Linked DNA regions of Macaca fascicularis. The protein of the gene in region 4 purifies or fractionates together with the protein of the main gene of each other region. This does not show direct contact. Links are inferred from orthologs where the notes say so. Each region holds a gene or a part of one and is shown on either strand. Other genes may lie near its edges.

Region 1 (3,448 bases), on a different chromosome or scaffold from region 4:
GGTAGAAGAATCGCTTGAACCCAGGAGGTGGAGGTTGCAGTGAGCTGAGATCGCACCACTACACTCCGGCCTGAGACTCAAACAACAAAACAACAAAACAAAAATAATCCATGACCCAACTCCTAAATCTAACAGCAACTGACAGTATAGCTGCCCTTCCCCCACAGAGGTCACACTGAAATTCTGTTCTCTGGATCTAGCCAGTTTCTAACTTTGGGACTATAATGTGGAGAACTAACAGCACCGGGGATACCCCAAAGCTTATCTGAACCTCTCATTAGTACCACTTGGGGTGGGGAAGCCTCCAGATGTCCTTCCAGCCACTGAGCAACAGCGCCACCTAGCAACCCTCTCAGCAAAGCCATGGAGCTGTGCCAAGCCACCTGACTCCTCCTAAGCCCACCCCGAAGAGAAGAGCAAGATCAGATTCCAGGAGCAGCCCCTGCAAGACAAACTCTTGGTTAAAAAAAAAAAAAAACACACTCAAGGCCAAAGCAACATATAACCACGCCCAACTGGCTTGTTTTATTGGAGAAGGGGACGCGGAATAAACAACGTGAGACAGCTGGGACCTGAGGCTGGAAGAACCCCCTCCCCTCCCCATACATGCCCACTGCCCCAAATAAAAAATAACCAACTATGGGAGAGCAGCCGAGACAGCAACTGGGGGCAGGGGAAGGAGATACGGAACTCGAGGGCAGCGGTGGAGAGACCATGCGTGTGCTGGGAGGGCCCAGAGGCAGCGGTGGCACAAACAGCGCAGGTACGAGTCTCTGTGTCTTCCCCGGGGTTATGTATAAATATAGAGAGATGAGGCCTTCTCTCCCCTGCTCTCCCTTCCGCTCCGTGCTGCTCGCCGCGGTCCCAGCTCCTCTTTCCACATGAGGGCGAAGGGAAGGGGGATGAACAAGTCATCACCGAATTGCAATCAGACCCACATCCATCAGCTTCTGGATCTTCTGTGCTATTACAGGATTCTTTAAGTGTCTACAGAGGAAGAGGCAGTTATTTGAAATGAGACAACCTTTAAAATCTTACTTCCTTACTTCCTCTCAGAGCAAGCCCCAATTCAACCCCCTCTACAGAAGGCCCCGGCAAGGAGGGGTCCTGGCGAGGCCTGGGGCGCAGAGCTGCGGAGGCCTGCTCCACTTCGCAGAACTTGCCAGTCCTACTCCAAGCCCACGACACAGTTTCCAGCTAAGACCTTTCTCCCAGCTAAATGGGCCTTTCCAAATGACTGCTCAAGCTATCATGACAAACAAGGAAGGCCCTTCCAGCTCTCCACCCACTACCAATCTCCTCAAGTTTAGGAGAATGACAGAATTCCTCTTCCTCCCATACCGAGCACACCCCTCCCAGCTGTGTGCACTCATCTGCCTGCTTTTGTTCTCCATTTCCAGCAAGGCCACCTCTTTGACTCTACGTACTCGCTGAGTGCCTGGGGGTCCTTCTGCATCTGTTCCAGGATAAGGCGCATGGCTGGGTCACTCATGATCTGCTGCACCTCGGGGTCGGCCATGGCTCGTCGCTTCACATCTTCGGGGCTGTCATGCCGGTTGTACTGCGCCATCATACAGCGTTGGTAGCCGTCTGCCGCCTCCTGCAGTCCAGAAGAGACAAAGGCGAAGAGTGTTGGCACCACCCAGCTCACTACTTCAGCAGGTCCAAGATAACAGAGGTAACTGACAAGGGAAGACAGAGCAAGTAAGAGAGAAACGGAGAAATGGAGGTGACAGGGAAGAAATCAGGGACTGAATGTGGAAAAGACCCAACAGAGAAAGAGGCAGGGGGAGCCCTGGAGCCCCAGAAGCAGCCCCACCTTACAGCTGGAGTCCAGGTCTAGCGCCTTCTGGTACACATCCATGGCTTTGGTGTAGTCCTTCATCGCTTCCAGGGCAGCAGCTTTCCGTGTATAACCCTTGACTACAGACAGGAGAGGTGGTGCGTCATCCAAACGCAGCGCCCAAGGCTGCTCCTTGCACCTCTTCACCTGCACATCAACACTGTTCACACCTGCTGATGCTGGATCCTAAATGCTACAGGTCCCAAGGACACACAGGTAGACAAAGGGCTTGCCCTTTCCTTCTCTAATCTTTTGGCTAGAGACAGGGGACAGGCAGCAGAAAGGTACTTACTGAAGGTCGGCTCCAGCTGGATACATTCCTCACAGTCCTAGAATGAAGCAGCAGAAAGAAATTAGGCTCATTCCCTTGGACAAGCTCACTACAGGCAGCTCAAGCATGTGAACTTCCAACTAACACCTCACCCAGCACCACACAGAGGTGATGACACCAGAAAAGACAACTCCAGATGATGGATCATCCCATAAAAGACAAACTGCCCGGACTCTGCAAGAGGCTGATGCTATGAAAAACACATAGTGGGGGACAATTCCAGTTTGAGAAACTGAAGAGTACATGACAGCTAGACCAAATGCATGGGCCTTGGTACTGAGAGCTTTGGAATCCAAAACCACTGCTGATTAAAAAACAAAACAACGCCAGGCGCGGTGGCTCACGCCTGTAATCCCAGCACTTTGGGAGGCTGAGGTGGGTGGATCACCTGAGGTCAGGAGTTCAAGACCAGCCTGGCCAACATGGTGAAACTCCGTCTCTACTTTAAAAAAAAAAAAAAAAAAAAAAAAGCCAGGTGCAGTGGCTCATGCCTGTAATTCCAGCACTTTGGGAGGCTGAGGTGGGTGGATCACCTGAGGTCAGGAGTTCAAGACCAGCCTGACCAACATGGAGAAACCCCTTCTCTACTAAAAATACAAAATTAGCTGGGCGTGGTGGCACATGCCTATAATCCCAGCTACTAGGGAGGCTGAGGCAGAAGAATTGCTTGAACCTGGGAGGCAGAGGCTACGGTGAGCTGAGATCGTGCCATTGCACTCCAGCCTGGGCAACAAGAGTGAAACTCCGTCTCAAAAAAAAAAAAAAAAAAAATTGCTGTGTTGGTGGCTGCACCTGTAATAATCCCAGCTACTTGGGAGGCTGAGGCAGGAGAATCGCTTGAACGTGGGAGGCGGAGGTTGCAGTCAGCCAAGATCATGCCATTGCACTCCAGCCTGGGCAACAAGAAAGAAACTCTGTCTCAAAATAAAATAAAATAAAATAAATTTAAAAACCCCAAGTTTTAAAACATATTTTTGGAGAAGTAGGCAAGTCTGAGTATGGATGGACAGACGGCAGATGGCATCAGGCCTTGGTCTGGTGAGGCTGCGTGAGCTGACAGTGCTGCACTGGACAGGGAGTCTTTTCAGGCAATGCGTGCACAAGACTTGGATGTCTCATTCTAAGTGCCAAATGTATACAATTTCCTTTTGCAAACAGTTCAGCAAAAAAGGTGAGCATTTAATTGTCAGATAAAGGTTGAAGATACACCAGATATTCACTATGTATTCTTCTTTTTGAAACATCTTCAAAGTAGGAAATCATGAGGAAGAGAA
Region 2 (4,207 bases), on a different chromosome or scaffold from region 4:
TACCTTATCCTGCACACACTGATCATATCATATAGGCTGCTATATGAGCTGCCTTGGTAAACATAGACTGACACTCACCATCATCAAGAATCATGATCAGCTTGAGAGAGCTTTACTTAGTATATTACGGTTGTTTTCTATATTTAAGCTTGGGCTGTCAGCTGTCCTGAGCATACAAGGGACTGCCTCTTTGATTCAGTCCTCCATCACTCTCCTTCCCCTCTCGAAGGTTAAGTTTTCCCTCCCTGCACCTCTTCCCCTCTTTCTCCCTTCACTGTGCCCACAGGACAACTCAGCACGTTTAGTACAGGCAGTTGCCTCAACACCCTGAACTGAGCTGGCCTTGCCTTCTTGCTGAGCCAACAGCTTGTGCAGCACCTGGTCAGGGCCAGCTCAGTAGTCCAGGCAGTCAGTAGGCATGACCACCTGCACAATGAATTACGGCTGAAGTATCATGGAGTAAACATTTTAGACCCTTGCCCTATGAGAGAATGAATACACAAACGGACAATGGCCAGCTTATATATAAAAACAGAATTCTGCAGACAATGTGCATCAACCAGTCCAAGAAACCAACCTACCATCTACAGTATCTAACAAGTTAAACTATCAGCAACTGGGTTAAACTGTAGCAACCAGCCCAGGCAGCCAAACAAGAAACCCTGTAGCAACCTGCCTCAAATGGCCAGGACTTGAATAATTACTGACAGCTTCCTCAATTTTTGCTCCTACTTCCAACTTAGGGCCAATCAGAGAAAGTCAATTATATACCCCTAAACAAACACACAGCATACCCCCCTTTTAGGTAGCTCAGCTACAGCTTCCCTGTATCAATAGCCTCCAATCAGGACATAACTGCAGCCTTCTCCCACCCTCCTCTGTCCTCTGCCTGCTTTTGAGTTTCTGCCAAACACAAGTAATGGTGGCTGGCTCCCTTGCTTTGAAAAATTAGCTTTTGTTTGTTCTCATTTGGGTGGTCCTCATTTATTTTCACCACTAGGGAAATGGGGCTGCATGCTTGAAATGGATCACTGAATTGTTCTTTGATGCCAGAAATGTCTGTACTTTAGGGAGGCTGTTAGATGTGGCCAAAAAGAGCACAGCAGTAAGGGAAGAAGTGTAGAGTGGCTGGGGTTAAGGACATAAGCCTTGGATCCAGACTGCCATGGTTCAGATCCTGGCTCTTCCACTACCAGCTGGTGAACCTGAACAAGTTACTTAACCAATTTGTACCACAGTTTCCTGACCTGTTAAAAAACACTGGCAATGATAATGGCTCACAGAGTAACTGGAGGGGTTATATGAGACAAGCCATGTAAAGCATGAATATCTGGATTTCAGTGCTATCAACAGAGAGAATAATCTGCCTCACTAATTTATGATACCCACCTGGCCCCATTCACCAACATTAAACTGGACTAAAAACACTTTTCTTTCACAGTTAGTAACTCTAGGAAATCCAGGGGTATAAATACTGCCGACGCCAAAATCCATCTCAAAAAGATCTGATGGGGAAGTGACCTTATTCCTCAAAATCCCTCATATGCACACTGGAAGTCTCTGTTTTCTAGAAATCAGACTTTTTTTTTTGGGGGGGGGCATAACTTAAAATTACAGAGCTTAAAATATATAAACATTTTTTGTATAACTAGAAGCCCATTGCTACAATTCAAAGACTGTGACCACACTGTTCATCAGTAACAAAGAAAACTCTCCATTTAGGTCTTCTGCTAGTCCTGGTAAGAAAAATCCTACTTCAGACCATTAAAGCTAAGTTATTTTGACATAATCATGATTCTTTTCAATAAACATTAAACATGACATTGTGGAATATCAAATCTAACCAAAAATGCCTATACTTAACAAAACAAAGATTTTTGTCTGAATTATCTCTGGCTACACTCAACACTTCCAACAGGCAGTTGCTCAACTTTCCAATGTCTGCATAAAATACAGTTCTGAAGCCAATTTTTTTAGACTAAAATAAAAAGCCACTCGAGCATAAACCTTCATTCAACGAAATTGGTTAAATAAGATTTAATTAAGAAAACTAGGAGCCACGTTCATTGCAAATCGTATTTTACTTTAGCATTTCACTTGGAATTAAGTTAGGGGCTTAGGCATGCATTGAAAACACCAAAGGATAAATATCTCAAAGTTCTAAAAATGTCCTAATACGAAAATGATATTCTGGGATGATTTCACAAGGGCCAGAAGACATCACACATTGCGAACCCAGTGAGGGTGGCATTGCGGACGAACAGAAGATGCTTTCACGCGGGTTATCCGTCTTTCCCAGGCCTCGGCTCCCTTGACATTGCTGCGATACCCAAAATTCTTTGAAACAGAGAAGGCAGGGCTGGCTTCTGGGTCCCAAGGAGTCTCTGCGTCCTCCCCGGGAAAGGAAGGGGCCGGTTCCCCGGCGGGAACTTCCCGGAGGCCGCGCCAGCCCCGCGAGCGACCCCAGCCGTGCAGGGCGACGCGGAGCCTACGCCGAGCTGGCCCCGCGGCGCGCTCCGCTCCCCCGCCGCCCCCGGCCGGTCCTGGCCGACTCACCCAGGCCGCGCCAGCCCAGCGCGCCGTCGCAGCTGTCCAGCACCGCGCACAGCTCCCCCAGCAGCGCGGGCGGCAGGTCGAACAGCAGGGTGTGCGCCGACAGCGCGCCGCGGGCCCCGCAGTTCCCCGCCATGGCTCGGTGGCCCGAGCCCCGGGAACGAGGCGGAGCCCAGGCCCCTGCAGGCCCGCGACAGGCCGTTACACAACCGCGGAAATCCTGCTTCCACGACGGCGGCAGAGCCCTAGGAACACGCAGTTCCCCGGCCCCGGCAGGGGCGGTGCCCACGTGACGCAAGGCGCGCCTAGCCCGAGATGCCCGTGCGGCCGCTTGGCCTGGCCTGGGGGGTTACCCAACCCGGGTTCTCCCTTCGCTGGCTTTGCGCCCCTTCACACCTCTGCTTTGGGGATGGAGCTGCTGAAACAAGCAGAGTGAGAACTGGAGAAAGCCCAGAGCTCAGAGCTACCAGGGGCCCACCGTGCCCCATGGCTAGGCGGTCTCCTGGTGTGGATAGCTAGAGATGTCATTACTTCTTTAAAAAGTTTGTTTCTGAAAGTTTCTCCCTTCCTTCTTTCCTTCCTTTCTTTTCTTCCTTTTTTTCTTTGTTTTGAGTCAGGTTCTCGCTGTGTCGCCCAGGCTGGAGGGCAGTGGCTGTATCTCAGCTCGCCGGAGCCTCCACCTCCTGGGCTTAAGGGATCCTCCCACCTCAGCCTCCTGAGTAGCTGGAACCACAGGCGCGCGCCACCACTCCCAGTTAATTATTATTTTTTCTTTCTTCGTAGAGAGGGAGTCTCGCTATGTTGCCCAGACTGGCTTCAAACTCCTGGCCTCAAGCGATCCTCCCACTTCCGACTTTCCAAAGTGCTGGGACTGGTGGTATTAGCCACTGTCCCCGGACTATTTATTTTTTATCCTGTCAGAATAGCTATCCATGTTCATCGAGGAACACTTGGAAAACCCACAAAAAAAAAAAACTGAAAAAAGAAGATAATCACTCACAACCCCACTCAGCCCATTACCCTCTAAAAGTTTTGACACATTTTCCTCCCAACTTTTACTGAATTTAAACAGATAAAAATGTGCATATATGGGATTATTACTGGAAAAGATGAATGTAGATATCAACAACAGAAAAACAGAAGAGACACCAAATGAGAGTAAAATTATGCTCGTTTTCTTCACGAGGCGGCCCCTCCTCCATACACCTACTTGGTTTTAAGAAATTCTCTTCCTCATGGGCTTCCCTGATGAAATATCGTTCCATCATTTTTTCCTTCCTCAAAGTGCTTCACATAATCTTCCTTTTTGCCTTCAACATGGAGTTTAAGTAAAATTATTGTTTTGAAATCTTCACGGAGTTTAAGTAAAATTGTTGTTTCGAAATCCTCTAGGTCACACAAGGCATGTTACCAGTGACAAAAAGTTGTTTTCAAAGTGGTGAGAAAAAGCTTAGCCTTAATGACTGGAAGAGTGGGCAGTGACCATCAAGTGAAAACACCAGAGGTGTTTTTAAACCTCTCAGATTGTAGTCTTAGAAATATCTTCCCCTAGAGATCAGGAGTTATGAAACACTAGCATTTCATGGCCCTACCTGAATGGTCCTTGTCAGCAAAAATACTCCATAACAATATACCTAAAAACTGGCAAAGCCCA
Region 3 (3,995 bases), on a different chromosome or scaffold from region 4:
ATATTAGAAATGCAAGATCAGCTGATGTCTTAGAAATATGTATCTACTAAATGATTGCATATTTGGCCTGTGGTTGAATTATTTTTTTTTACAGTTTCTAATTATATTGATATAATGCAATTCAATTATATTGAGAAATACATAATATGATTTTCTTAATTTAGAAGGTAATATTCTCATACAATATAAAATATTGAAAGCAACATAAAGTAGTTTTTGTTTCTGGTCATCTTCCTCTGTTATCTTACAACTGAACTGGAAGTGTAATCTAAGTTGACAAATAGCTAATAAGTGTCCTTGGTTCACTCTGGATTGTGTAACACTGGTTTAATGTATGCAAATGAAGAACATGATGGAAATTATGTAATGCTTTCAATATCAGAAAGATCCAAATACAATCTTTAATGCAAAAATGAACTGAGTATTAAAAATGAAGGGGAATAAAACAAACAAAAAACCCAAATGACTGCCTAATATTAAAAACAAATTTTCGTCTAAAAACAAAATCCTACTCCCCAGAAATGTCCTAAACACACGCACACCCACATACACACAAAGATTGAAACATTATCTAAATTGAGAGAAGGGTCTTGGAAACACAGAAACCTAACCAGAAGTGAAATAGCTTTAGGGGAAGAACATCAAAATGATAACTACCTCCTTAGTAATTTGTTTTTCCATGAATCAAGAATGTAAAAAGCTTTAGAAAGTAGCATACAAAAACTAAGGTTGTAAGAACCAAATGAAGTAAGTTTGTGAAAGCATTTGGTAGACCATAAAGCACAAGTTATTATTATATAACAATTTGTAGTCTACAAGCATAGCAATTCACCACAGAGGAGACGTAAACGCTTATTTAAAAACTGCAATTCTTGTATACTGACTCATGGAATTTTTATTCTTAAAAAAGAATATTAGCCATGAAAGTTGGATCAACTATCCACTTCTGGAAAAGGAATTTATCATAGCCTCAATGTAAAAAAAAAAAACTTAAAAACATTCCCCCCTCTTTTCAAAATACAGGTCTTCTTTTAGCCATGTGACCTTAAAGCAGGTCACATTTCCTCTCTGGAACTAGGTTTCCTAATATGTGTCAGGCCCTGTGGTAGGTGTTTTGCATATAATGTCTACTAAGATCTGTTATGCAGATAAGATGAAACAGAATTTATTAGCCCTTTCTAAAACTAAAATTCAAAGGGGTTAGGAAACTTGCCCCAAATCACACAGCTAATAATGGCATATCTGATACATTGAACTTTCCTCTAATTCCAAAGACCTTGCTTTTCCCACCATATTATCTTGTAAAATGAGGATGTTCTCAATGATCTCTAAAGTTACTTTATGTGATAAAAAGTATATAATTCAGTAATCCATTACTCTTCCAAAACATGCACAGGAAAAAAAAATTTATTTGTTGAACGTTATCTCACTACTTCGAACTTGCTGACACTTAAAAATAATTTTAGAATTTTAAAGTAGACATAACTTGTTGACAATCTATAATATTTCACTAGGTTTTTCACGGGATATATAACGCAAGTGCTTAATAAATTAAAAAAACGGCAAATAAATGGTAAGATATAGTATTTTCAGCCAAAGTTTTTAACAAGTTCTAAAGTCTCTTTAAAAAATATATATGCAGCTTTTACTTTTCTAAATTTTATAGTCATTAGAACCCAATTTACCTCTCTGTTAATCTGAAAAGCAACACTTTAAAGTCACTTTGAAATAGCTTGTTCTAAAATGAATTACTGCAGAATAAAGAAAGGATATGGGTTTTCTGATAGCGATTTCCAGTCTAATGTTATATTCTGATTGTCACCGATCATTCGTTATCTCTTCAGAATATGCTACTTGAAACATCTTTTGATCGTAGACCAGTCTGTGTTACTTATGGTGAAATTCACCTACGTTAGCCCAACTGAAAGCCGAGCGTTTAAACATTACGAGTATTGCTGTGCGGTATCGGAGAAACTGAGAACCATTCGATGCTAAGGGAAACACTTTATTAGACTTGATGATCTACTAATTTAACAAGCATTTATTGAGCATCCCCTACATGCCAGATACTGAAGTAGAAGTCGAACATAATACAATTATTGGCCATTAAGAACTTCACGTCCAGCGGACTGAAACTCCAGAACGGCTACGATCTTCGCTGAAACTACTACTTACAGATACGAGAACTGGAGGACCACACTGTCTCACCAGTTCATTCTCCTGTTTATCACCGGAATATCAAATCCAAAAGCAAGAGTACTCAAGACAGGAAAAAAGGCAGCTACTCCCAAGCAGTTGAGCTCAGAGAGTAACCCCCACTCCCACGTCAGTGAAGGCTGTTGGGTCTCCCGGGTGGACCCCACAGGGTCCCGCGAATTAGAGGGGCCGGGGAGGCACCTTCAGAGCCGGGACCAGACAGAGGCAGGGGCGGGCCGGGCCGGTACCGGCGTCTCCATGCAGGGCCTCGCTCACCTCTTCCACCTCGATTTCCTTGTAGTCGATCTCTTCAAAGTTGAGGACTTGAGAAGGGGCTTCGATCATCTCACCGGCCGAAGACGAGGAGGAGGAGGAGGCGGCAGAGGCTGTAGACATGATCCCTCGCGGCGCCCGGTGGGGCCGGGAGCGGTGCCGCCCGGACAATCCGGGTGAGATCCACGCCCACCCGCCTCCGGACCGACCCTCAGGCTGGAGCCGCGCAGTCCTGCTACCCGGCGATCCGTGGCGGGGATAGCGGCAGCGGCCACAGCCGGGTCCGGATCTGGCTCCGCTGCGTTTTCCGCCGCTGGGCCCCGCCCACTACACTTCCGGTTCCGGGCTGAAATCGGAAACAGGAGGTGGGCCGTAAACTCCGGGGGAGGGAAGGGGAGAATTTTGTGACTTGGAAAGAAAAGGAGGGACAGGTTGGGGGTGGGGTGGAGTAAACTAAGAAGCAAGCTTGGACCTCTAGAACAAATTTCGCGAGACCTTTATTACAGGGCCTCAGCAACCGGATGATACCGCGAGAGAGGACGCCTGACGTAATTAAAGTGCGCGAACGGAAGTGGCGCGGAACATGACGGAAAATCAGCACGGTTGGTCCCTTAAGGACCAGCGGGAAAGATAAAAGCTGGCGTTTAGTCTCTGCTGTGTGAAGTATGTCTTGGCCTCTCTTTCTCTCCTTTGAGCTGCCAGCAGACGGGCGAGGTGGTGTTGAACTGTGTTTTTTGTGACGAAGCTTGCTTTTAAGTTTCATCCCTCAACTAAGTTGACCTGTTTCTTTAAGACGGCTTGCAAAATGTGTTTTCCTCAATGTGGGATATGGAAGGAAGCAGTTGCTCCTGTTACTTTGAGCTAGTCCCTGACGCTATGAGAAATTCTAAAAGAGCGAATCAGATCATGCAACATGAATAACTATGGAGGCTGAGTGATCAAAAACAGAAGTTAATATTTTGGTGTTACAAACTTTACACAGATTAGGTGGATAAGATATTTACACTTTGGTGTGTTCATCTCAAGTTATGGATTACGAGTGCGGGGCACTAGTGCTTTAGATTGGTAAATGAATCATCAACAGTCTCCTTGAAAATCAAATATTTTCATCACCATTTTCAGGACGTGAGAAAATACACTCAGAGTTTAAAGCAATTATGGTCCTTACAAACTAGATCAATCTGTCCCCAAGATGGTCAGTATTGCTCATGTTGTACTACCAGCACAAGTTTTAGTTTTAAACTAACTGTTGAACTTTATATAGTCCGTTTGACATAAAGCCTAACTGTGGAAAATTGGAGTTAGAGATGAAGATTTAAAGACCAAGGATGGATTCCTGCGAATGTCAAATTCTAAGTTTCAGTAAGAGACTGAAAGGAGGAAGTGAGGAAAATAGTAATTGGAACATCACCAGAGGTGAGCTTTCCAATGAAGAAGTAGCCAACCAAGTATATGCTGTACAGAATTATGTTAAACACATTTGGGATTGCAACTAGATCATTGGATTTGACCATCAAGAAGTTACA
Region 4 (4,003 bases):
GTGCAGCCTGGAACAGCCACTTCACTCTCTAGGCTTCAGTTTCCCCCTTCTGGAAAACGAGGAGCAAAGTCTCCGTGACCTGCACTTGTTAAGCTACTCTGGCTGCTTGTCAAAGCATTCAAGGCTGGGCAGTGGTTGGGGACATGTTCAATAGAATCTGCTGGGCATAGGCTCCCAGGGCTCATCCCTTTGTCCCTGGGTGGTCGGGAAGTCCTTGAAGGCATTCTTCCCACTCTCCCCAAACACAGTATGCCGGAGGAGGCAAGGGGGTCCTCTGTCAGCGCTGGCTGGTCCAGCTGGTAGCCCCAGACCCCCTTGCCTCCGGGGCTTGCTGATGAGACCCTCCAGCTACTCCGCTTGCAAAGGGGAGGGGCCTGGGGAAGAGCTCTATAGAAAACAGTGGGCCAGGCCAGGCACGGTAGCTCACACCTGTAATTCCAGCACTTTGGGAGGCTGAGGTGGGCAGACCACTTGAGGTCAGGAGTTTGAGACCAGCCTGGCTAACATGGCAAAACCTCATCTCTACTAAAAATACAAAAATTAGGCAAGTATGGTGGCGTGTGCCTGTGGTCCCAGCTACTCGGGAGGCTGAGGCAGGAAGATTGCTTGAACCCGGAGGGTGGAGGTTGTGGTGAGCTGAGATCACACCACTGCACTGCAGCCTGGGTGACAGAGAAAGACTCCACCTCAAAAAAAAGTGACCCCACCATGGGCCAAATCCTGAGCGGGGTGCTGCTGGGGAGCTGGAAGTGCAGGCCTGGCCTGCTAGCAGGACCCGCTCACACAGGCTAAAAGCCCCAGGCCCCGCGACCGGCTCCAGCCAGGTGTCAGGAGTGCTTTGGGTCCTCGGAAGCGTGCCGGGCCAGGTGAGCCTACCTGGCAGTGGAGCCGGTCCTCCAGGGAGCCGTTGGGCAGGAAGCCGTACACGAGGCAGTAGAAGCCGTTCTGAGCACAGTAGCCAGCAAAGTCCACAATGTTTGGGTGACGAAACCTGTTTGAAAAAGGGGAGCACTTTCCATCAGGCCAGACTGGGTGGGCAGCCCTGGCTGGGGCCTCAGCTTGCCTGGGCCTGGCAGGCCTCAGGTGCCCAAGGGAGCCAGGTCGTGTAGTGTGTGGTCTGAAGCCCCACGGGACCTGGTGTGGCTCCCCATCTGGCCTCACCTGGACAGCTGCTCCACCTCGGTCAGGAAGCTCTGCTTCACTGCAGTCCACTCCAGGTCAGCGTCCTGCAGCCCCCAGGGTGCGGTGGGGGAAGGGGCAGGGAAGACGGGCAGGGTGAGGCTCTCCAAGCGAAGGCCTTCGGGCCACCAGTGCCACGTGCCTGAGGCCCAGAACAACCAAGGGGCCAGGGACCCTGCGCCGGAATGAGGGCTGAAGGAGTTGTGTGGGGAAGCGAGGGGGAAAGGCTGGAGAAGTGAGTGAGGGTTGTCTGATGGCCTTCCAGGGTCCCTGCCAGGGTGCGACACTCACCTCCTTCAGCCTCTTCACAGCATACACCGTGTTCCTCATCACTGCCCGGTACACGCACCCAAAGCCACCCTCCCCGATCTTGAGCTCCTCTGAGAAGTTGTGGGTGCCCTGGGAAATCTCACAGAGGGGCCAGCAAAATGGAGAGGGGTGGGCTCCCTGCAGGAGGGACACCGAGCTCTCTGGGCCTGGCTGTGGAAAGAGAGCCTGGATCAGGTGGGGTCCCTGTCTCCTCCCTTCTGCCGAAGGCTCCAGGCTGTCCCCACCACAGCTGCCTCCCAGCTGACCCAGCTTGGCTGACTGCGGCTCTGTGGTACACCAAAGGCTGAATTCCTTCCTCCTTGTCTCGAATCTTCCCTAGGGGGCAGGAGACACCTACCTTGGTAGAGGAAAGGGCTGGAGATGGCGGTGGAGGCCGCAGGGAAGCAGGGCTTGGGACCAGGCCGAGCTCAGGCCCTGAATGGGTCTGGGAGCCTGGAAAAGCTTCATAAAGACACCAGTGAGAGGCAGGCAGAGACCAGCAGCAGGGTCTACAGCCGTGGCCATGGTCAAGGTGGGCCCTTCTTTGGGTCCACCGAGCCCAACAACCGGGCCCTCTTACCTGGGGAGAGGAGGGTGGAGGCTGAGGATGGCAACTTCCGGGGGCTCCAGGCCTCGGCCTCGGCGGGTGCAGGGATGCTGCTGGGCCTCGGGGCAGTGGTGCTTGGGGACGGAAGCGGGGCGGGAGGGTGCCCTGGGACGTCAAGGAAGGAAAGGAAGGTTGAGGCCCGGGTCGGGGAGCCCCGTGGGGCCCGCCGGCCTCCCGGCCGTGGGGTGCCCGGAGTCCCGCGCTCACAGGCTGTGATGATGTCCCGCGCGCGGAGCAGCTGCAGGTGCGTGAGGATGTGCACCAGGTCGGCCACACGGGCGTTGCGGTTGATCCAGGGCCACAGAACGCTGGCCGTGCGCTGCCCGGAGCGCTCGCACAGCCGCAGCTCAGTCTGGTCGCGCACGATCAGGGCGGCTGCGGAGCAGGGGGCGTCAGGCGTCGGCGCCGGGAGCCCGCGCGCCCCCCGCCCTCCGCCCCCCGGCCGCCAGCCGCCACCCGCCACCCACCGAACTGGCACCAGTCGGCGGGCTCCAGGGCGTCCATCACTTTGTAGAAGCGGCACATGACCCAGGGCGGCACCTCGTACAAGAAGTGCTGGGCGCCGGGGGCTGCGGGCTCTCCCGGGCCCGGCCCCCCGGCCATGGCCGCCGCCGCCGCCGCCGCCGCCGGGCCAGGGCCTGTCGGGGCCTCTCAAGGCCGCGGCGGGCACGGGCCTGGGCCGGCCGGGTCCGCGGACACTGACTCACTTCCCCTTCGAGCCGGCCTCGTGCGACACCCGGCGGGGCGGAAGGGGCGGTGCCCGGGCTCGCCGCCATCTTGCGCGCCGCGGCCGCGCGCTCGGCCACACGGGGGCGCCCCGCGTCGGGGAGGGTGCGGGTCCCGGCGCGTTTCGCGCGCGGCAGTCGGCCTCCCGGGCTCGCCCGGGCGGGGCTCTGGAGGACGAACGGCAGCTCCCGGCGTTGGGGACCGAGGGCAGGGCGGAGGCCCGGGCTGCTCGGAAAGGGGCCGGGGCCGGGCCTGCCGAAAGCTCCTGGGCGGCCCGGCGGGAGCCCTGCTCTCCACTGCGGCCTACAGGGCTGTTACCAGGAGCCCTGCCCGTCCGCCCCACGTCTAGCCCCCTGCACAGAGCAGCAGCCTTGAGCCATTCAGACTCCTTGGGTGTCCTGAAATGTGCCAAGAACGCTGGCCCCCACAGCCGTGAGTGTACGCGTTGCTGCTGCCCCAGCCCTCGTTTGGCAAGGGTGAGCTCAAGCAGTTGTGAAGGCTTCCTGAGCCCGCCGGCAGAGCTCCTGTCCCCTCCTGGGCATCGTCCTTGAGCACTTGTCTGGACCGCCACCCCCGGTCCCCGCCCTGAGATGGGGAAGACCCCACAAGCAGCAACGCAGACTTACTCTTTTTAAAGTTTCTCCAGCTGGATGTCTCCCAGCGACAGTTCCCCTTGCCCTCTTGATCCTGACAGGGAAGGGGTTCCCCACCCCTAGCCCTACAGACTTAGAACTTTTCCTAGAAACGAGATCTGCCAAGGCCCACAGCTGGCCCCTGTTGGAGTCTCTTCCCAGAAGCCACCACCACTGTGGCCACTCCTAAGGAAGATGCCAACCATACCATGAAACCCATGGCTTCTCACGGGATAGACTTTACTGAGATGTACCAACTCAAGAATGTGAAATGACTATGCACACCCATGCTAACCTCCACGGGGGGACTTGTCCTGCTTACACACAAAGGCCCAACAGCTTCTGGAACAGGGCTGGTGCACGAGATGCTCAATGCATACAAGTTGACTTTTCAATCCTGGGATCTACCTTTCAAGGCCCGGCCTTTAGAGGGTACCTTCTAGTATGTGCATGTGAAGCTGGACTCCTTTGAGCAGTTGTCTCCTCCAGCTCCTTACCAACCTGGTGAGGCTGCTCCTGAGAGCCAAGGAAGTCTAAGTAACAAGGGGGC
Region 5 (3,500 bases), on a different chromosome or scaffold from region 4:
ACTGAATTTACTTAATTTTATACAAAGCCAGTTTAGTTTAATAAAATATTTCATATATAATTTAATTAAATACTCAAGGGCCCCCTAGACTAATATTATAAATGTTACCATATGTTATCATTAACTAGCTAAAAAAGTAGGGCACAATTCAAATTCCATTCACCTATTTATTCAGGGTTTAAAGGCCTGAAAAGACATTTCCCCCACATTTAATTAATTTTGTTGATTAGTATACCTTTCTGAGGTTCCATCATTTGCTGTAATAATGAAAAACAATGGTGATTTCTGGTTACAGATACATTAGTATATTGATTCATATCAAATGCTGAGTATGACATGAATACATAATCTTCCACCAGCACTAGCTCCACAATGTGACTACTACTGTTTTAACAAATATTTTAGACTTTTAGCAGCTCACTTTATTTCCCAAATTGCTGTATTAGACTGCAAATGACAAGTACTGCCAGAGACTGTCCCCAAAATCTAATCTCCAGATAAACATAATTTATATCGAATGCTACCAGCAACATGTACAGGACCAATGAGTCATGAATTAAAACAGAAGCTCAAAGAGTCAGTAAACTTTCCACGAAGACAGACCAAAAAAATGTTCTCCAGAGGTTAACAAGAGGAGATTGCAGGAAGGATTATCCGTTCAGTGTACCATAAGCCCAAGGTCAGGCTGATGGAAGCCTCTGTAACTGGTCAGGTTAATCAGATGCTATCAAATGGGACGGCACAATTTTACAGAGTTTTAAGTGTCGCTTATAGGGACTAACTTCAAAAATAGCCTGTATATTTAATACAACCCATTAATAGAAGCCATTTTTGGAGTTCTTTCTTTTCAGTCACACTGTAAAATTCTCCGGCACATGTAGCAGCCTAAGAAGAGTCGCTACACAATAACCAGAGTGGACGAGAAACTCATCCTGTGATTTGCCCTCCTGGACAAAGGCGCTCCCCACGGACTCTAGTGCATGCTTTATACTCACCCAGGGAGGCAAATGCTCAGGTGTAAACCATCCCCAGCTCCCCACAACATGGTACTGAGTGAGTAGTATTAGGTGTCCAGGCTCTCCATCAGGGAGACCTGAATTTGAATCTCATCGGCTGCCACCTTCTAACTCTGTGACACTGGACAACCTTTAATTTTATGCCACATCTTCCTCATCCATGAAATGGGGATGACTCTACTTCCCTAAGAGGGCTGCTGTGCAGATGAAGTGAGCTAATGTCAAAAATGTTAATGCAGAGCCTGCACCCAGCAACCATTTACTGACTTCTTACTCTTGCTGTTATAATGATGAATAACCAGTTTGGCCAATCTAGGTCGGTTTTGCATAAAACTATCCAGTGATCAGAAACAAAAGATTATTTAGAAAAACTGCTTTCACATTTCCTTCTTTGTTTACAATTTCTTGAAAACATTTATACAAAATTTATTGAATTTGCTTTTTTTTTTTTTTTTTTTTTTTAGAAAATGCTTCTTTTATTCAGCCATAATGCACTGTAAGACGCATAAGCTGTGCCTGTAGCTGAAAAACGGTGTAAAATAGAAATAAAAATAACCATTCCCTAAACACAAACATCCAGTAGAGAACAGCAAATGAGGTTAGCAAAACAGCCCCCAGCTTCTTTTTCCATCTTAGACATTTTTGATGATGATCTTTCTAACAAGTGCTAGGTCAAATTCTCTATTCCGCATACATTTTATTCTGTGGGAGTTTTGAAGAACTCCTCTTCTAGCTTCTAGAAAAAGACATTTGTTCTCTCTCATTCTAGCTTCTACCTAGCAAATTAAGCAAAAGTACAGGAATGGAGAGTTTACTAAAAATCAGTGGCTGTGCTATATGGCTATGGCAAGATCAGAAACTCAGAGTTACACATTTAAGGTATTATAATTATTCTCCAAGAAAGAATGGGTTTAAAAAACTGCTTTAGGGCACGGGTATAAGTGGTGATATTTATAGGAAAATATTAACATGCCAGGTCAATGCAATATATAAATCATCTCAAGTAAAAAGTTCTAACTATGATTTTGGTGGACAGTATAGAGAATTCTGCCTTAATATATAGGAATTCAAGGGGAAAACCAGCTGACTTATTTTTAGTTCCAGAAAGTCTAGTAAATAATTCCTTAATTCATAATTTTTACTAATTGTTTTTGGACTGCTCAAATGTTTTCCAAATCAATAAAGTTTTACACTAAAAGTAAGTTTATTCTTCTTAAAGTGAATTAAAACAGATTTGTGTGGTGAGGTATACAATAAAAAATATTCTTCAGGTGGTAAGGAGCAAAACACAATTTACTCCCAAAAAGTTGAACCACTGAAGGAGATAAGGCCATTTCCCTCTTGCTTTCTGGGGCTTGTGGAATTCTGCTTCTGCTGAGTTATGGTACACGGCGCTTGGACCTGCACAAAGGTTCCAAACGTCAGGGGAGGGAAAAACGACAGCCTTGGAGTTAGGCTTGTGTAGTCTGGAACGTCTTGCAGAGTGAAGCGCACTCACCAGCTTTCCTCGTTGCTGGGCCGACCTGGTTTCTCGCAAGGTATACACATCTCCACAGACAGAGATCTCGCGCCAGACCCCAGGCTGGGACTCCTCGGTGAAACCCCCTCGAGGATGCATCACCAGGACACCATTAGTAGTAAGCCCATCCATGTGGCCATCAGGGTTTTTCCACTTTGCTGCCTTTTCCTGGAGAGCACATGGCAGAACAGAAAAAGTAGGTTAAGATGATGTTGAAATGGAAAGGATTCTGGAATTTCTTTAATACACTGTGTAGAGGCAGAGGGGAGGAAGGTGATGCATTTTCATTTTCTATTTAAAGCTAATAATCACAAGGATAAAATACACAATTATTTCGACACTATAAAAGAAGTGTTGAATGGATGAATGACTTATCACTGGACACATATTATAGTTCTCAAGAATTTGCAAAAAATGGATGCCTGGACTTCTCCCTCTAAGATTCTTTTTACCCTCCCCACAACCCCATGAGATTCCAGGAATCTGATGTGTTTTCTCTTTTCAGTTATACTTGTGCCATGTCCTTATCCTGATATCTAAAAGTGCTTTCTATGTACTCACTGTCAGGATAGAGAAAAAAGGATAGCCATAAAGAAAGACTTTCTATTAAAGCTAGAAAATTCAAAAAATGTTAAGCCAACAAGTCAGGGTCATTATGTTTACACAACAATCAGTGTTTAAATTCTCAAAGGTAGATGGCACATGTAGCTTGACATGATGATAGGACAGACACTCTTGGGTGCTTGTGCCACAGCTCTTCCCTTCAGCTTTCTTGGTGATAGAGCTCAGCTACTGTTCACATGGCTGGGGCTGGTGGGGGGAATCCTGATTAATCCAACACGACACTCCCAGCCATCTTCCCAATGGCTGGTTTACAGGTGGGCACAGCACATGACTGGGCTCTGACTGATGACACAGGATATCTTCTCGGAGGCTTCTGAGAAAGGTGTCTGTGCTCTAAGAAG
Region 6 (3,500 bases), on a different chromosome or scaffold from region 4:
AATGGCCAGTCCTCCCTGCCTGGGCCCTGCCTTTTCCTCCTGGCTTTTCTCTCCCCATCCCGACCTGCTTTCCCCTCCCTGGCCCTCAGAAGAGTGGAGAGCGCATGGGAAGTACAGAGGCAGCTGTGGGAGGCAGACCCCATGTCCTCTCCAGCCTGTGCCCCGGCTGCTCTGGGGCTTGGGAGGTGGCAGCCGGTGGAGCAAGGATGGGGCCCGGAGGGCTGGGGAGGAGCAACTAGTGTCCCTGAATTGGAACTGGAGGAGGATAGCAGCCCAGGACCCTCACTTTCCCCAGCCCCAGACCTAGCCCTGGCCCTGGCCTATCCTGGTGGAGAGAGGGAAGGATCGTTGATAAACGACCGTGAAGCCCGTGCTGCCTGAGGGGTCTCATTGATGGGGTGTGGGTGCAGGTGGGAGCCTTGTTCCACCGATGAGATGGGAACTCGAGACGGGCCCATGATGGTGCGACCGCAGGGAAAGGGCGGCCCCTTCCCTAATGCCTGAGGCATCTCCCTCTTCTCCCCCAGAGAGCCTTCTCCATGGACGACCGCATCGCGTGGACCCACATCACCATCCCCGAGTCCCTGAGGCAAGGCAAGGTGGAGGACAAGTGGTACAGCCTGAGCGGGAGGCAGGGGGACGACAAGGAGGGCATGATCAACCTCGTCATGTCCTACGCGGTGAGCTGCCGGCCTGGTATCAGGGGCATCGGGGAGGGGCGGGACGCGTCAGAGGCCTTGGGGTGGGGCGGGTCAGGGTATGTTGGGACACATCGGGGCTGTGCCACCCCGCAGACACCCTGGTCTCTTTCCTGGAGGCACTGAGTCCGTCAAACAGCAGGGCTCAGCGTTCTGAGGACAGAGGGAAGGGGCCCTGGGTGGTTTGGTGGCAGAGAGGAGCTGCCCCGCCCACTGCTCCTGCCCATCGATTCTGTCTGGGGAAAGAGCATCGGGGTTGTTTGTGTTCCTAAGATGGGCCCACCCTTTGTGGTGGTCTCCACTGCAGGCCCCTGTGTCCTCGGAGGTCCCTCACAGCCCTTCCAAGCTCTGCCCTTAGGGTCCAGCTGAGCAGCCCTCCAGGGTCTGAGATGCAGCCCTGGGCCCTATGGGACACCAGGCTCCTCCCAACAGGGCAGGCACTGGCCAGGGTGTGGAAGGGCATCTCTGGAGATGTGGGGGAAGCCTGGGGGCTGCCGCGCTCGGGGTCAGGAAGTCGAGGCCTGGCCGTGGGGCCAGCACGTCAGCTGCCCTGGCTCCCAGCTGTCTATATCCTCAGGACACCTGCAGCTCCTGGGGGCATCGGGAGGGCCAGTTAGAGGCTCCAGGACGCAGAACTCCTACCGTCTTCTCTGTGTTATCACTCAGGGATTCTCTGTATTATCACTCAGGGATTCTCTGTATTATCACTCAGGGAATTTTTAGGTTGTTGCTGAAAAATGGTGCTGTGGGAAATGCAAGGCCCATGTGACAGTGGAGAGGGCGCAGCAGGGAGCCGCTCTTCTGGGCCATCTTGGCTCCTCCCACTCCCTTTTTGTTAACGCCGGGATATTTTAAAGCAAGTCCCAGCCATGAGTGACCACGTGTAAATGTCTCAGGACGCAGCTTTAACCGATGCTTTCATACGCAGAACCGTCATGACGCCCCAGTGACTTTACCTGCAGGTGACAGTTTTCAACTCAGAGACGACAGCAGTGCAGTGACTTATCTCAAGTTGACAGTTTTAAACTCAGACACCACAGCTGTGCAGTGTGGTTCCCCCCAGGCCCCCTTGACACCTACACTGGGATGTCCCTCCTGACACCATCGTCTCTCCGTCACATCCCAGTTAGCGGGGGGTCTGTAAGCCTGAGCCATGTCACCTCCTGGACGTGAGGAGGTGGCGCGGGGGGTCTGTAAGCCTGAGCCATGTCACCTCCTGGACGTGAGGAGGTGGCGCGGGGGGTCTGTAAGCCTGAGCCATGTCACCTCCTGGACGTGAGGAGGTGGCGCGGGGGGTCTGTAAGCCTGAGCCATGTCACCTCCTGGACGTGAGGAGGTGGTGCGGGGGGTCTGTAAGCCTGAGCCATGTCACCTCCTGGACGTGAGGAGGTGGTGCGGGGGTGGGAGTGGGCCCCGGCGTCCCCTGTGCACTCAGGGCTCACAGCTGGGTTCGGGGCTAGCATGGGGAGGGCGATTCCTGAGGTTCTGATGGGTAGATGTTCCTTCCTGACCCCGGGACCATCTCCGCTGTGTTCCAGCTGCTGCCAGCTGCCATGGTGATGCCACCCCAGCCTGTGGTCCTGATGCCGACGGTGTACCAGCAGGGCGTCGGCTACGTGCCCATCACAGGTGCGTGTGCTCCCTCCTCCCTGGGTGCCTCCCCCCTGGTAGAAACCCCAGGGCCTAGGGCGGGCGCAGGACAAGGGAACAGGGCTTAGAGCGCCGGTGGGGGGACGCCATCCGTTCTAGAATCCTGCAGACGTGCCGACTGCACGCAGATCCTTCTAGGCTAGGGAGCCAAGGATTACGTTTGAATTTTGTTTGCATATCTAGAGAATAGAATTGGTTTTTTTTCTAATTGTTGGCAGAAATGAGATGAGTTGAAATTTTCAGAGGTGTGGAAATGTGACTGAAACCTCGTCGTGCCCAGCTCTCTGCAGGAGAACCTCACACCCCTGTCGGGCGATGCATGCTCTGCACTGCGCTGTTGCAGCCGTTGTCGTGTGTCACTGTTAAGAGTGAGCAGCCGGTGGCTGCAGCAACACCAAGCGGGAATGTCGCTTTTCACGCTGTTGCATTTTTGGTCCAGCTGTCGCTGTCGTAGCAGCTGGTGCAAGGCCAGCCCCCACCATGGACGGGCCCAGCGTCCTCAGCAGGCGGGGGGACAGCAGCCCCTGAGGAGGTGCTCGGGGGGAGCCTGTGGCCACCCTGGTTCTCCACCCAAGGTGGCCTCTCATTCCGGGGAGCTGGTGTCTGGCAGAGCGTGGGTCCCTCTGCACTGGGGGACCAGGCCATGGAAGTGGCCAAGTTGCGGGCAGGGCGCTGGGGATGCGTGGTGGTGTTGGGGGAGGGTCTCGGGGCCTGCGTGAGGCCCCGGCTGCTTGTGCTCAGGGGCTGCTTTGGGGTTGGGGTGGGACAGAGCTGCTGGCAGGCGAGAGTGCTGTCAGGCCGGTGCTGGTGTCCAGCCCAGCTGGAGTGGAGAGGCCTGGTCCGCACCCCAGTCCTGGCAGCATCCCGTACAGATGCAGAAAGGCCACCTTGGGAGTCAGGACCTTGCCCTAGACCCACCTGATGTGGCCTGAAACCCAGCCTGGTGGTGGGAAGGAGGGGACGGCGCTGGGAGACTCTGGTCTGTCCACTGGTGTTCAGGACATTCTCTGACGAAACTGCTTATGAGAACAGCATGGCCCTGCCCTCACTTGCTCACATCGAGACTCTGTTTCCAAGTAAAGCCGCCTGCGCAGGTGCCAGGGCTGCCTTTCTCCAGAGGAAAGAGCAGAGCCCGTGTCTGAGCAGGGCCTC
Region 7 (3,500 bases), on a different chromosome or scaffold from region 4:
GAAACTGGGTTGGCAGGCTCAGGGCATAGCCAGCCTAAGCTAGGGGTCAGGGGCCCCTGGCCCCTTCACTCCCCCAGGGGCACACAGTGTCAGCGGCACGATGTGGGATGCCCCAGGAAGGGCAAGGCCATGGGGCTGGGCTTTCCTCCATCGACCCAGGACAGAACTGGTTCTGAAGGCCCCATCAGCATGACTGGGGTGGAGATCTTGGGGACCTCCTTGGGGGGCCACAGTTGGGGGGAAGGGCACAGCCCATCCAACATGTCCATCTGGTGTGGCTGTGCCAGCAGGGAGTGTCCCACATGCAGAGCTCCCTCTGGGCTGCAGGAGGTGGGGACCTGGGTGGGCAGGTGGGCACAGCAGCAGGGGGCCCCAGGGAGCCTAATCCAGCGGGCCCTGGAAAATGAGGCGGACGCAGCCATGCTCGCCAGTAAGCCAGGCCCCGCAAAAGGGGCAGGCGGCATGGAAAGCGTGGGTGCCGTGGGGCAGTGGTGTCTGGGCCCAGTAGCGGGCAGTCTTCTCAGAGCAGACGTGGCCACAAGGTGCAAAGGCATGGCTAGGCGGCCCAGGGTCCAGGCAGAGGCCGGCCTCCTGGCCAAGCCATAGAGGCACATAAGGCCCCACGAGGCGGCAGAGAGGACATTCGCGCTCCTGGGGGCCCCGCTCCCGCCGGCAGCCCCAGCCGTGGTAGCCGTGGACGTGCCCGCAGCGGACGTAGACCCATGGCTGCTGTTTGTCGGGTGCTGTGCGGCCACGGGCTGGGCTGGGGAAGGCCAGAGTGCTGAGGCCCACGGGGCACTGGGGCCGCGCTGCATTTGCCTCCTGCCGCTGGGCCTCCAGTTGCTTCAGTGTTGGAGCCCGCAGCAGCCCCGCCGGTGTGCGCCACAGCAGTGTGGCCCCACACAGGTCGATGAGAGAGCCGTCCTGCAGCACGTTGGACTCGTTTTCCACCTGCCAGAGGCAGTAGAAGGGCCTTACTGCCCAAGAGGCCCCCGCTGAGCCAAGGGTCCATCCCACGGAGCCTCCCTGGAGAGGACACCCTGGCTGGCAGGGCAGGCAGGGCAGAGGGGCAAGGCAGGCTGGGAGGCCAAGCGAACGGGCAGGTACACCCCAGGCACATGCTGACCCCCCCTCCCAGCGGGGCATGGGCCTTGGTTTCTCCATCTGTCTAATCAGGGAGTCTGAACCCAGACAGGGTTTTTCTAAAATAAGATGTTTTCTGAAGTGCCCTCCTCCTGACAGAGGCAGGAAAGGCCTCTAACAAGGAATGCTGGGTACTTAGCTCAAAGCTAACAGGGAATGCTGGGTACTTAGCTCAAAGCAACTATCCCAGTAGTTACAGTTAAAAGCAAAAACTCAGGAGCTAGGCTGCCCAGGCTGAATTCTGGCCTTACCATTGACTAACTTTGTCCCTGGTCAAGTAACTTAACCTCTCTCCATCTCAGTTTCCTCATCCTCAAGATGGACTGCACCTTCTGGCATCTCAAGTGGTTCTCGTGAAGATTAAATGAATCAATCAGGCCGGGCGCGGTAGCTCACGCCTGTAATCCCAGCACTTTAGGAGGTTGAGGCGGGTGGATCACCTGAGGTCAGGAGTTCCAGACTAGCCTGGCCAACATGGTGAAACCCCATGTCTACTAAAAATACAAAAAGTTAGCCGGGTGTGGTGGCTCATGCCTGTAGTCCTAGCTACTTGAGAGGCTGAGGCAGGAGGATCACTTGAACCCAGGAGGTGGAGGTTGCAGTGAGCTGAGATTGTGCCATTGCAATCCAGCCTGGGTGACAGAGTGAGACTCCATCTCAAAAAAAAATTAAAAAAAAATAAATAAATGAATCATTCAGTGTAAAAACTTAGAACAGTGTGTGGCAAATAGTGCTTAAGAAGAGTAGGCTTGTGAAACATTCACATGCATCATTTTACCAAACAATGCTTCCCCAGACCTCCCCACAGAGTTGACGCTCTGCAAAGAAAAGCCATGCTTTTCTCTGAGGTTTTGCATCTCCTTGGACAATGTGCTCATGCCTGAAGAGCAACGCATGGCCCGTTTGAGGAGCATGGCCATGTGACCTTGGGCAGCCCCTGCCTCTCTCTAGGACTCACTCTGGGCTCCCTAACCTCAGCTCTCTGATCTGCACCACAAGGAGTTGCCACTAACACCTGTGTCAGAACTACTGTAAGGACCCTTTCCTCCTGAGAGAGAACAGTGCTAAACCTGTCTGAATGTGACAGACATGCTACAAACTGCCAACACTTCAGGCTATAAACTGCTCACACATGGGCCAGTGTCACTCTCATAAGAAGGTGTGATTTTTTTTTTTAAGCTGCCAGCAGCCTCGAAGCCACCTGGGACTGCACAGTATGTCTGTGTGTGCCTTGATCACATCACCCCCTGGACCTCCAGTGGTATACACGCTATGCTTGGGGACCCTGGTCTGTCTGCCTGTCTGTGGCACATGCTAAGAACTCCCTGGGCCTGGGATTCCCCAACATGCAGCCTGTTGGGGCTCCCTGGGGCAGAAGGACTAGAGATCATCTCCTGGCTTGGGCAGGGGGATGGGCAGCTTGTGAGGGCCTGGCAAGGATGAGGGTGGGGAATAGAGCAGGCCACCTACCAGCTTGCCCCGCTGCTGGGCTGAGCGGCTGTCCCGCAATGTGTACACATTCCCACAGACCGAGATCTCCCGCCAGACACCTGGGGCTGAGTCCTCAGAGAAGCCGCCCGCCGGGTGCATCACCAGAACACCATTGGTGGTCAGTCCATCCATCAGGCCATCTGGGGTCCGCCATTTGGCTGCCCGCTCCTGGGACCACATGAGGGATCAGATCACATCCACCAGGGGCCCCCCAGCAGGCTATGTGCCAGAGGCACTGCCCCCCTACCCTCAAGTTCAGAGGTGGCTCAGAGAGGACTGGCATTGAAGCTGCATGACTTAAGTGTCTCTCTGGGCCTCACTTTGCTCATCAGTTAGCTGGGGTTGCTAAGCCCTGCCAGGACCATCATTTGGATTACTGTGGGCTGGTTCATCACATCAAGATGCTGCACCTCCCAAGCCTACCCCTTGCCTCACAGATGAAGAGTTGGTCCCTTCCTGGGGCTCACTCACTCCAAGGAAGATGTTGCTAGAGGCGTCGAAGCCAGCTGCATAGATGCGGGCAGTATAGGGCGGCCGGCGGTCACAGAGGATGCGGCAGGCGTAGCGAGAGATGGTGCTCTGGGCGGAAGGGCCCTCGGCAGCCCCTCCTCCAGGGGATGTGTCTGTTACCACGAAGTCAATCATGTTCTCTGTGGAGCGGCCAATCTGTGAGGACAGGGAAAGCAAGCAGCGACTGCATGTACATAGGGGACTCTCATAGGCCTCCCCACCCACAGTTCCGGCAGCTGCTCTGTATGCAAGGTCACCAAAAAAGGAGGCTGCCAGGCCCTAAGAAGGGGGCAGCACCAACTCCTTAGACCTTCTAGGCTCCCAGGTGGGGTCTCCAAGTCCAAGAAGCCATTGCC

Evidence for each region.
Region 1: the proteins of IRAK1 (region 4) and STIP1 purify together in Homo sapiens (affinity purification with mass spectrometry; 3 studies listed by BioGRID and IntAct, with this or other methods). This does not show direct contact. The link is inferred for Macaca fascicularis from reciprocal best matches to the Homo sapiens genes IRAK1 and STIP1.
Region 2: the proteins of IRAK1 (region 4) and IRAK3 purify together in Homo sapiens (co-immunoprecipitation; 3 studies listed by BioGRID and IntAct, with this or other methods). This does not show direct contact. The link is inferred for Macaca fascicularis from reciprocal best matches to the Homo sapiens genes IRAK1 and IRAK3.
Region 3: the proteins of IRAK1 (region 4) and MAP3K7 purify together in Homo sapiens (affinity purification with western blotting; 5 studies listed by BioGRID). This does not show direct contact. The link is inferred for Macaca fascicularis from reciprocal best matches to the Homo sapiens genes IRAK1 and MAP3K7.
Region 5: the proteins of IRAK1 (region 4) and PELI2 purify together in Homo sapiens (affinity purification with western blotting; 7 studies listed by BioGRID and IntAct, with this or other methods). This does not show direct contact. The link is inferred for Macaca fascicularis from reciprocal best matches to the Homo sapiens genes IRAK1 and PELI2.
Region 6: the proteins of IRAK1 (region 4) and TOLLIP purify together in Homo sapiens (affinity purification with western blotting; 11 studies listed by BioGRID and IntAct, with this or other methods). This does not show direct contact. The link is inferred for Macaca fascicularis from reciprocal best matches to the Homo sapiens genes IRAK1 and TOLLIP.
Region 7: the proteins of IRAK1 (region 4) and PELI3 purify together in Homo sapiens (affinity purification with western blotting; 7 studies listed by BioGRID and IntAct, with this or other methods). This does not show direct contact. The link is inferred for Macaca fascicularis from reciprocal best matches to the Homo sapiens genes IRAK1 and PELI3.

What each region holds. Positions count from the first base shown.
Region 1 is NC_088388.1:10,193,092-10,196,539, forward strand, and holds the end of STIP1 (stress-induced-phosphoprotein 1), read right to left. Parts: intron 2,173-3,448; coding exon 2,136-2,172; intron 1,924-2,135; coding exon 1,820-1,923; intron 1,601-1,819; coding exon 1,428-1,600; intron 988-1,427; coding exon 915-987; 3' UTR 501-914; downstream 1-500. UniProt on the Homo sapiens protein: Acts as a co-chaperone for HSP90AA1. Mediates the association of the molecular chaperones HSPA8/HSC70 and HSP90.
Region 2 is NC_088385.1:72,978,740-72,982,946, reverse strand, and holds the start of IRAK3 (interleukin-1 receptor-associated kinase 3), read right to left. Parts: upstream 2,801-4,207; 5' UTR 2,690-2,800; coding exon 2,557-2,689; intron 1-2,556. UniProt on the Homo sapiens protein: Putative inactive protein kinase which regulates signaling downstream of immune receptors including IL1R and Toll-like receptors.
Region 3 is NC_088378.1:84,782,202-84,786,196, reverse strand, and holds the start of MAP3K7 (mitogen-activated protein kinase kinase kinase 7), read right to left. Parts: upstream 2,801-3,995; 5' UTR 2,593-2,800; coding exon 2,473-2,592; intron 1-2,472. UniProt on the Homo sapiens protein: Serine/threonine kinase which acts as an essential component of the MAP kinase signal transduction pathway. Plays an important role in the cascades of cellular responses evoked by changes in the environment.
Region 4 is NC_088395.1:160,087,061-160,091,063, forward strand, and holds the start of IRAK1 (interleukin-1 receptor-associated kinase 1), read right to left. Parts: upstream 2,801-4,003; 5' UTR 2,699-2,800; coding exon 2,563-2,698; intron 2,471-2,562; coding exon 2,303-2,470; intron 2,201-2,302; coding exon 2,069-2,200; intron 1,951-2,068; coding exon 1,847-1,950; intron 1,660-1,846; coding exon 1,471-1,659; intron 1,227-1,470; coding exon 1,162-1,226; intron 992-1,161; coding exon 877-991; intron 1-876.
Region 5 is NC_088381.1:124,162,042-124,165,541, reverse strand, and holds part of PELI2 (E3 ubiquitin-protein ligase pellino homolog 2), read right to left. Parts: intron 2,704-3,500; coding exon 2,515-2,703; intron 1-2,514. UniProt on the Homo sapiens protein: E3 ubiquitin ligase catalyzing the covalent attachment of ubiquitin moieties onto substrate proteins. Involved in the TLR and IL-1 signaling pathways via interaction with the complex containing IRAK kinases and TRAF6.
Region 6 is NC_088388.1:1,223,321-1,226,820, forward strand, and holds part of TOLLIP (toll-interacting protein), read left to right. Parts: intron 1-527; coding exon 528-680; intron 681-2,236; coding exon 2,237-2,327; intron 2,328-3,500. UniProt on the Homo sapiens protein: Component of the signaling pathway of IL-1 and Toll-like receptors. Inhibits cell activation by microbial products. Recruits IRAK1 to the IL-1 receptor complex. Inhibits IRAK1 phosphorylation and kinase activity.
Region 7 is NC_088388.1:7,918,657-7,922,156, forward strand, and holds part of PELI3 (E3 ubiquitin-protein ligase pellino homolog 3), read right to left. Parts: intron 3,301-3,500; coding exon 3,106-3,300; intron 2,803-3,105; coding exon 2,614-2,802; intron 952-2,613; coding exon 382-951; 3' UTR 1-381. UniProt on the Homo sapiens protein: E3 ubiquitin ligase catalyzing the covalent attachment of ubiquitin moieties onto substrate proteins. Involved in the TLR and IL-1 signaling pathways via interaction with the complex containing IRAK kinases and TRAF6.